2 linked regions of the Tribolium castaneum genome follow. The protein of the gene in region 1 interacts with the protein of each later gene in a pairwise test. Links are inferred from orthologs where the notes say so. Each region holds a gene or a part of one and is shown in the gene's direction. Other genes may lie near its edges.

Evidence for each region.
Region 2: the proteins of akirin (region 1) and Bap60 interact in binary tests that used the Drosophila melanogaster proteins (3 or more experiments, as listed by UniProt). The link is inferred for Tribolium castaneum from reciprocal best matches to the Drosophila melanogaster genes akirin and Bap60.

What each region holds. Positions count from the first base shown.
Region 1 is NC_087398.1:5,661,425-5,665,877, reverse strand, and holds the start of akirin (akirin), read left to right. Parts: upstream 1-1,570; 5' UTR 1,571-1,815; coding exon 1,816-2,008; intron 2,009-4,453. Other genes in the region: ankyrin-3, read left to right, coding at 1-419. UniProt on the Drosophila melanogaster protein: Molecular adapter that acts as a bridge between a variety of multiprotein complexes, and which is required for embryonic development and for normal innate immune response.
Region 2 is NC_087395.1:25,851,758-25,855,928, reverse strand, and holds Bap60 (brahma-associated protein of 60 kDa), read left to right. Parts: upstream 1-1,388; 5' UTR 1,389-1,605; coding exon 1,606-1,719; intron 1,720-1,766; coding exon 1,767-1,933; intron 1,934-2,021; coding exon 2,022-3,087; intron 3,088-3,136; coding exon 3,137-3,292; 3' UTR 3,293-3,373; downstream 3,374-4,171. Other genes in the region: fibroblast growth factor receptor substrate 3, read right to left, coding at 1-68, 317-942. UniProt on the Drosophila melanogaster protein: Involved in the recruitment and site-specific anchoring of the Brahma complex at specific promoter sites.

The sequences.
Region 1 (4,453 bases):
TGAGCTTGAACATGTCCGAAGCAATAAAGAACCATCCGTTGCACCTCCAATCCATTTGGAAGACGAAAAACTACATCTTGTACTATTACATAATGCTTATATCGCGTAAAGAGAATCTCATAATGGACCCGAACATGAGCTTTTCGAAAATAATCATGTTATTTTATTTTATAATGCAACACAAGCCGCTATTCGAATGTCTGAAGATTTTGCACACTCAGCAGTTGAGTTTGGTACCGGGGAAAATGACTGAGCCGTTGACCTGTATTATTAGAGATTTATACAAAAGACCAAGAAGTCTGAAACAGATCTGCCGCGTTAAAATACACAACTGTCTCGGGCGCAGACCGGGACTCTACATTAACAAACTGAATCTGCCCAATCAGCTGAAAGATTATTTGTTGAACTTTGAACCGTAGATCAAGGTGACTCGAAGTCGTTCAGGATTTCTTCTAATATCGGTTTAGAATTAAGTGGCGATGTCTAAATGTGACCCTTAGCCCAGTGTTGAATATTGTTTCTTTCTCGCTCGAAATCATGAAAATACTCGTCGCAAGTCAATTATCAAAACGTATCATTGTTTGACTTGTTTCTGGCGCTAGCTGTGATATGTTAAAAAATCCTGGACGCGCTTCAGCCGTTGCTAGTTTTTAAGGGAGATAATATACTTGTGATTTCTTGTTAAAATTTCTAAATTCTAGTAATCGTAAGTGTTCAGTTGAACGGTACAATGGGGTCGACTAAAAGCAAGGATGTTGTAGAACTACGACTTATGATATCTTAATACGCTTTTGAGCTGTGTTCGTGTTGAACAGGGTTTTGTGCAGATTAGACAGTTTTTAAATGAACCACTCACATTGTTGTTTATTCCGTGCCTCTTACGTTTGAAACACACTGCACACAGACGTGTGCGAACGGTTTTTGGTTCCGTCACCGGTTTTTCTTTGACAATAATATTTAGCTTGGTTTGTTGTAGGAATCTGGCAAAGTCCTATGCTATACAAAATATCAGCTCTGTACATTTTAATATATATGCCAAATATTATTAAGAGCTAAGTATAATATATAAATTGGATAGTATATTTTATGTTAAGATTTAAGATTATGTGATTTTATTGTTGAGGCATATTGGTATCATATTTGGATAAAAAGTATTTAATAAAAAAATGTCTATATTACACGGATTTGCTTTCTTTCAGCCCTCAGTTAAGATTAGTATCTTTAAAAACTGATTATTTTTAAACACTGGACTTTATTTTTGCATAGTTTTTTTTTTGCCGAACGCACTTTTTTGATTCACTACCCCCTACCCCCAGGTGTTGCGCCACCACTGGCAAGAAACAAGTAACAATTCGGTTCTTTTCAAAGCAAAAGCAACAGTAACGTGCCTAAAAATGGCATAAGGTAGCAAGCGATTTCATGATACATTCGTTTTAGCCGTTGTTAGACGGAAATTTGCGTAATTGCCTTTAAATTAGCCCAATTAATTTTGAAAAAACGCGAAGATCTTTGGTCCCGGGAGATGTCGCCAGGGTACAAAGCATGCGCAGAGTCGCGCAAGCCAATGGTAACCGTATATTCATCACAGCCCACTCTGCCGTTCACAAAATGTCACTTCTCTTATTTCGTTTCGCCATATTGGTCGTTGGGTGCGCATGAAATCGTCGACCATTCCCCTTTCATGGACAAGTTTCGGGGTAAAAGTACCGCTGCATAAGTGTCCAAGTGCAATTTCGGTTTTGTACATAGCAAATTCGCGATAGCCTGTGAAACAAAGTTTGTTTTGTGTGTGAAGTGTTAGCGACAGAACTAAAAATGGCGTGCGCTACTCTGAAACGTTCCTTGGATTGGGAGCCCGTGCTGGGGGGCCGTCCGGCCAAACGCAGGCGCTGCATTCCCTTCTGCGAGAGCCCCACGCACAGAGACAGGGCTTCGCCTCCGGCCACCTCCTCCTCCCCCAAGCCCAAGTCCGTCTTTCCCGATGTCGTCAGCCAAAAATTGACCCCTGGTAAGTGGACAGGGCCGGCCTAAGGGCCTTTGCGGTTGTTGACACTCGGTCTCAGCTGATCGCCGATAAAGGAATGACGTCCGAGGGACTTTTTACAGGACCGATTTTAATTCCGTGTTAATTGCTTATCTTGCTCGAATTCGTTGGAGCATCGTGATTTTAGAAATTGAGGTTATCCGCTCGTGTTATCTCAACGTTTTTAGGTTATTTTTGCCGATTTAACCAAATCTGGGTGCGGGTATATTGATTTTGGAGCGGAGGGGAGCGAGGACATTAAATTTTATAATTGGGGCTTACAGGCTCTCACGCTTTGGATGCCTGGATTCGATTAGAGTTTTATGGGAAATTTCATGACCGATCGAGGAATACATAAATCTTCCATGATTTGAGTCATAATTTTTTCATAGCTAACTGTAATAATGAAAGATACTTAAGATTTTATTGTGATATTTAGAAGCTTGAAGATAAAACTTAAGTTGAGCTTGTACCAACATGACTTCCTAGATTGTGAGCCACGTTAAAAACGCACGTATTTTTTTGTCATTCTATTTCCACTTTTTTTGAGCCGACAAATTTCACTAAATAACGAAATTGGTGGTACGAGTATATTTTTTTAAGAGAAATGCCAGATCACAAAGGATTATCTTTTCAGCCCTCAGTTAAGATTAGTATCTTTAAAAACTGATTATTTTTAAACACTGGACATTTATTAACCTTTATTTTTGCATAGTTTTAGTTTTTTTTTGACGAACGTATTTTTTTGATTCACTACCTCCTACCCCCAGGAGTTGCGCCACCACTGGCAAGAAACAAATAACAATTCGGTTCTTTTCAAAGCAAAAGCAATTTATATTTTTTTAGGGGAAATGCCGGATTACAAAGGATTATCTTTTCACTAAAATAAACTTCAAACAACTTGACATCAAATAATTATTATTTTTCGTATTATTGGTAACATGGTGACTATTTTTAGAGTTAAAAAAAGTCTCTGTAGAAAGAATGTTGTACCATTTTTTTAATAAAATTTATTTTCATTACCTGTTTTATGTTAGAGCGTGCTTAAAAGCTTTTTTAATGAAGTCATTAAAGCTTATACATGTTCTCTTGAAAACAAAATATATTGACCTCATATTTTGTATCAGCTCGTAAAGCTCGTTTCAGACATGCTTGAACAAAATTTAATTTGTAACACAGTTACAAATTAAATTTTTCTATCATCTTGTTTGAATCACATATAAATGAAGTTATAAATTGTGTTAACACTTTTGTTAGTATGATTCTGATTTAGTTATTATCTTTATTAAATGCTGATGCGTACAATTTTTCGATTTTTTATATAGGATGGTAAAATAATCTAGTAATAAAACAAAAGTAAATACAACAATAATTTTATTAGAAACATTAATCGATTTGATTAGTATTTTCATTGTCATCATTCATTTACCTTTTTTGTTGTTGAACTGTTATAAAATAATTTGTGCCAAGAAAGATTAAACAAATAAACAATACGTTAATTGTTTTGTGTATGCGTAAGTATCTGAACATAATATGAAAATAAGGGGATAGGGGAAAACACCAGTTTTAAATTGAATCATTTTTGGAGGGAACGTAAAAATTTACAAGAATTATACTACTTAAAGTCAGCTTATTAGGAAGCATTACTACGAAAGAGATGTCAAAGACCTTTTCTGTGAAAATATTAAGTCGCAGGTATAAAGGTGCTGTTTGAAAATCAATGTGTTATGGAATGGTTTTCTTGTTTTTTTTTGTAATTAATTAATATATTGTTTTTTGAATGTATGATAATGTCTTAGGCTGAGCATAAACCTAACAATTGTTTAAAATTCAAAAAAACTATTTGTTGTTTTCTAAATTGTACTGGATTTCGAACTTTATATTTTATATCAGTTGCTACGGTTGAAATAAATCCATTGTAAACACACATTTTGTTGTTTTATTTATTTAAAATTTAAATAATAGTACGAAATATAAGTAATAATTTAGTAAATTTTAAAATTAAATACATATACAGTTTTGTTTGGATTTAAAGACCAATGATTTCGATGTTTTGTCCGAAATCTGACTTCCTGGAAAAATATTCCCATTTATCTTATCAGCATTATTTGAGAGTTTGGGTTTAGGATGCTTTTACTGCCCGTAATCTGGTAATTTTTCGAAGCACTTGGTAATGGTAGTTGGTCGTAAAGGGATAAGAGATGGGTAAAAGCTCATCCCGACTTAGAAGGACACCTGTGTCTAGATTCGCGGATAGTGACGTTGTGGCTGTGTCTCTAGGGTTTTTTCTGAAAATTTTACGGCTTTGTAAATTGAATTAAATGTGCCACTGCGTGACTGGTGGGTCATAAGCATAAAATGTTGCTTTGTTGTTGAAATTTATGTGTCTAATAACACGAAACAGGCGATGCTAATACGTTAAAATGTATG
Region 2 (4,171 bases), on another chromosome or scaffold:
CAACGGTGTCCACATTCATGTACAGGTGGCACGGACTCTCCACAAGGGGGCGCAGCTCCTCCCCACATCTAAATACCCAGTGACTTTATTTTTATTTAAATCAAAACTGCCAAATTAAAATTTTTAATTTATCACCAACTTATTATTATTTAAAGGCAGAAAATTATAAATTATTCACCGAAGAAAAAAAATATAAAAGTGGCACAGTTGGCAAAGCTGTTTATTTAGCAAAATTTCAATCTAACTGACAAAAATGTGTAAAAAAAATCGGTAAAAGCGCCCTAAATGAAATAAATCTGGGACTTTAGCAACTTACCCCTCGGGGGCTGCGGCGCCTAAGTTGGCATAATTGGGAGCCTCCAACTCAGTAATAACACTGGAATTGGTGTACTGGTGGTCCCCCAAACTGCCCCTCTTATTATTATTGTGTTCGTGCGTCGACTCGGCCGTCGTGGGGCTCACCGGGCCGTTGCTGGTGATGGACCCAGGGCGGCTCAGACTCGGCCTGGGGGCCCCCACCGGATTGAGATAGCCCTCGGGCTGGGACGGGGCGCGTCGCTGCACAGGGGGCCCCGTGGAAACGGCCGGAAAGTCCGAAATGGCGTTAATAAGGGGGTTCTCGTCGGAATTACGTACAATGTGATGTTGGACGATATTGAAAAGTTGCTCAGCCTTGCGGCACCTAAACGCATAAATGCCTTGGCCAGTGGGGCACCTGCGACCGCACTCGAAACTGAAAATTTCCGAGTCGAAGCCGTACTTGCGCAGCGACCTGAGGGGCCACACTGTGGGGTTTTTGCCTCTTTGGTGTAGGACTAGTTCAGTTTCCCGGACTTCGAGCTTGCCGGGGCTCACCAAGTCGCCTTGGTCGTTGACGTTGGATACGTCGAAAATGTTCGGGTGTTGATCGTTTATGTCGGGCTTGCTGCTAACACAACCCATTTTCTACCTAGGAGTAAGGGGTAAATAAACATCAAGGTTATTTGGTTGGGGGCACTTACTAGGTTTGGCTCAAAGCTTGATTGCATGGACACGTGGCTTTTCAGGCATTCTGACCAAAAATTACTGTTTTTACATTTTGTTGTGAGTTTTTCGGGGTTTTTTAACCAATTTTTATGTGAAGTTCTCACATAATAAACAGCGACGCCATCATGGTTCTTCTGTCACCAGGCCGGCAACCAAACACAAAAAATGCGAAAATAAATTCATTTGACCACCGGCAACAACCCCACGGGCCCCAAAACACCCACAACAACACGCGTAAACAACCCAACAACCTTTCTGAAAATTTTTAAACAAAATACGGAAAAACAACGGTGTTGGTACCCCTACTAGTAGCTCAACTGGTCACAATCTCACAATGTTCACAAAACCTAATAGTGAATTCACACCTTTTTCGTATTTTTTTCCCAAACTTTGATTCAATAAACCCAAAGGTCGCAAAACCGTTCTTAATCACACATTTACTATTGATAATTCCTTATCAAATTAACAATTTCGTCCACGCACACCTTCGTCACCAAACCCACCAAACACACAAGACCGAAACTGGGCAACTGGGGACGCATCTGTGTGTTTTTTGTGCTTAAGAAGTGATAAAAGGCCATGGCCCAGCGTTTCGCGGGCCCCGTGCCGCCCCAAGGTCCCGGGGGGCCCCCACCCCAGCGTTACCCGCCCCAAAATCCGGGAATGCGCCAGTACCCAGCCCAGAATTTTCCGGTGAGTTTCCCCATTTTCCACCCAATTATTTCTAATTCGCACTATAGCAACGGACAGGGTACAACACCCCGCCCCCGAACATGGGGGCCCAGCCGGGCGCTATGATGCCGCGGCCCCCTCAAGCCCCCTATTCGCCCATGCGAGGGGGGCCCATGCCGCCCCAGCCGGGCGTTAAACGGCCCCCGGACAACAGGGCCGTCATGCAGCAAAAGAGGTAAGCAATTGGGAGTATACAGAATTGTTATTTTTATTTATTTCAAATATTTGTATTTGTTCGAAAAAATCGTTTACGCTGTTGGCAGTGATTACCCACATGGAACCAAGAAAAAGAAGAAGCTTTCCGACAAGATTTTGCCCCAAAAAGTCAGAGATTTGGTGCCCGAAAGCCAGGCCTACATGGATTTACTCGCGTTTGAGCGTAAATTAGACTCGACCATAATGAGAAAACGGTTGGATATTCAAGAGGCGTTAAAACGTCCAATGAAACAAAAACGCAAATTGAGGATTTTCATCTCTAACACGTTTTATCCAGCCAAAGAGGCGTGCGCCGAGGGCCCAGACGGCCCTGGACAAGAGGGCTCCGTGGCCTCTTGGGAGTTGCGAGTCGAGGGCCGCCTTTTAGACGACTCGAAAAGTGACCCCAATAAAGTCAAACGCAAATTTTCGTCATTTTTCAAATCGTTGGTGATTGAGCTCGATAAGGAGTTGTACGGTCCTGATAACCACTTGGTGGAATGGCACCGTACCTTAACAACTCAAGAAACAGACGGTTTCCAGGTCAAGAGACCTGGGGATAAGAATGTGCGGTGCACTATTCTTTTGTTACTCGACTACCAACCGCTACAATTCAAACTCGACCCGCGATTGGCCCGTTTATTGGGCGTGCACACGCAGACACGCCCCGTTATCATCTCCGCCCTATGGCAGTATATAAAAACGCACCGATTGCAAGACGCCCACGAACGCGAATACATCGTGTGTGATAAATATCTCGAGCAGATCTTCGGGTGTCCTCGGATGAAATTTGCGGAAATCCCCCAACGTTTAAACCCGTTGCTCCACCCACCGGACCCTATCGTCATCAATCACGTGATCTCGGTGGAGGGCGGGGCCGAAAGCAAGCAAACCGCCTGCTACGATATTGACGTGGAGGTGGACGATACGCTCAAAACTCAGATGAATAATTTCCTGTTGAGCACAGCTAGTCAGCAGGAGATCCAAGGTTTGGATGCGAAAATTCACGAAACTGTCGATACGATTAATCAATTGAAAACAAATCGTGAGTTTTTCTTGAGTTTTGCCAAAGATCCGCAACAGTTTATTTACAAGTGGATCGTGTCACAAACCAGGGATTTGAAGGTATGGAAAGTGAGTGTATTAGGGTGGAAAAGTGGCATTTTCCGCACGTTTGTTCTAGTGTATGACCGATGTGGTGGGCAATCCTGAAGAGGAGCGGAGGTCCGACTTTTTCTACCAACCGTGGGCGCAAGAAGCCGTGTGTCGCTATTTCTACACCAAGGTGCAGCAAAAAAGGGCCGAACTGGAGCAAGCACTCGGCATTCGCAACAATTGAGCGAAACCAGCACGAGATATGTATTAGTTTATTTGAATATAATTTCCAGCATTTAATAAATAAACTGCATTTTTAACTCAAGTCACTTTCCTTAAAATGTCTCCAAATAACCAAAAACAAACTCACTAAGGCTGGAGAATTTTTCCTCAAAAATTCAGTGATTTTTTTCCTATAAGGGTGAAAAATTTTCGGCAACAATGAGGGAAACAAACAGGAAATTTGTATTAGTTTATTAGAATATAATTTCCATCATTTAAATAAATAAATTGCATTATTGACTCAAGCATCCACTATCAGTTTCGTTACACAACTACGACAGCTGTACCAAAGACTGTTACTAAACAATTATCTACAGTCAACAAAAACAAATAAATTAGAAATGCAATTGTGCACCAATCGGGTCTTTGACGGAAGAACAAAACTTTGCTACTTATCACAATGAAATTAGATTGCATCGGAGCGATTAGCACTTGCGCCCGTCAAGCCAACCGTCCGACCTGCACCATTGAGAAAAACAACAAAATAAAATCGTTTTAAAAAAATATATACTTAGACCACTACAAGCAATCAATCAATCGTAAACAAATTTATACAAAATACATCAATCAGGCTATACAAATAATCCAGTTGTGTAAAATGTGCTACTTAATTACCTAAACGTGCTAGTTAGACCATTTGATCAAGAGGAGAGACAACTAAAATCCTAAAATAATGCCACTTTTATATTACAAAACACGATTTAAGCCTGGAAAATTTGAATCGTTATTACACCACCATGATTATAATAGCGCGCGACATGCGACAGGAAAACCCACAAATTATTTCTTAGCAATTGCACTAAAAACCGACCTAAGAAACAATTTGTCGTCTCAATAAGTG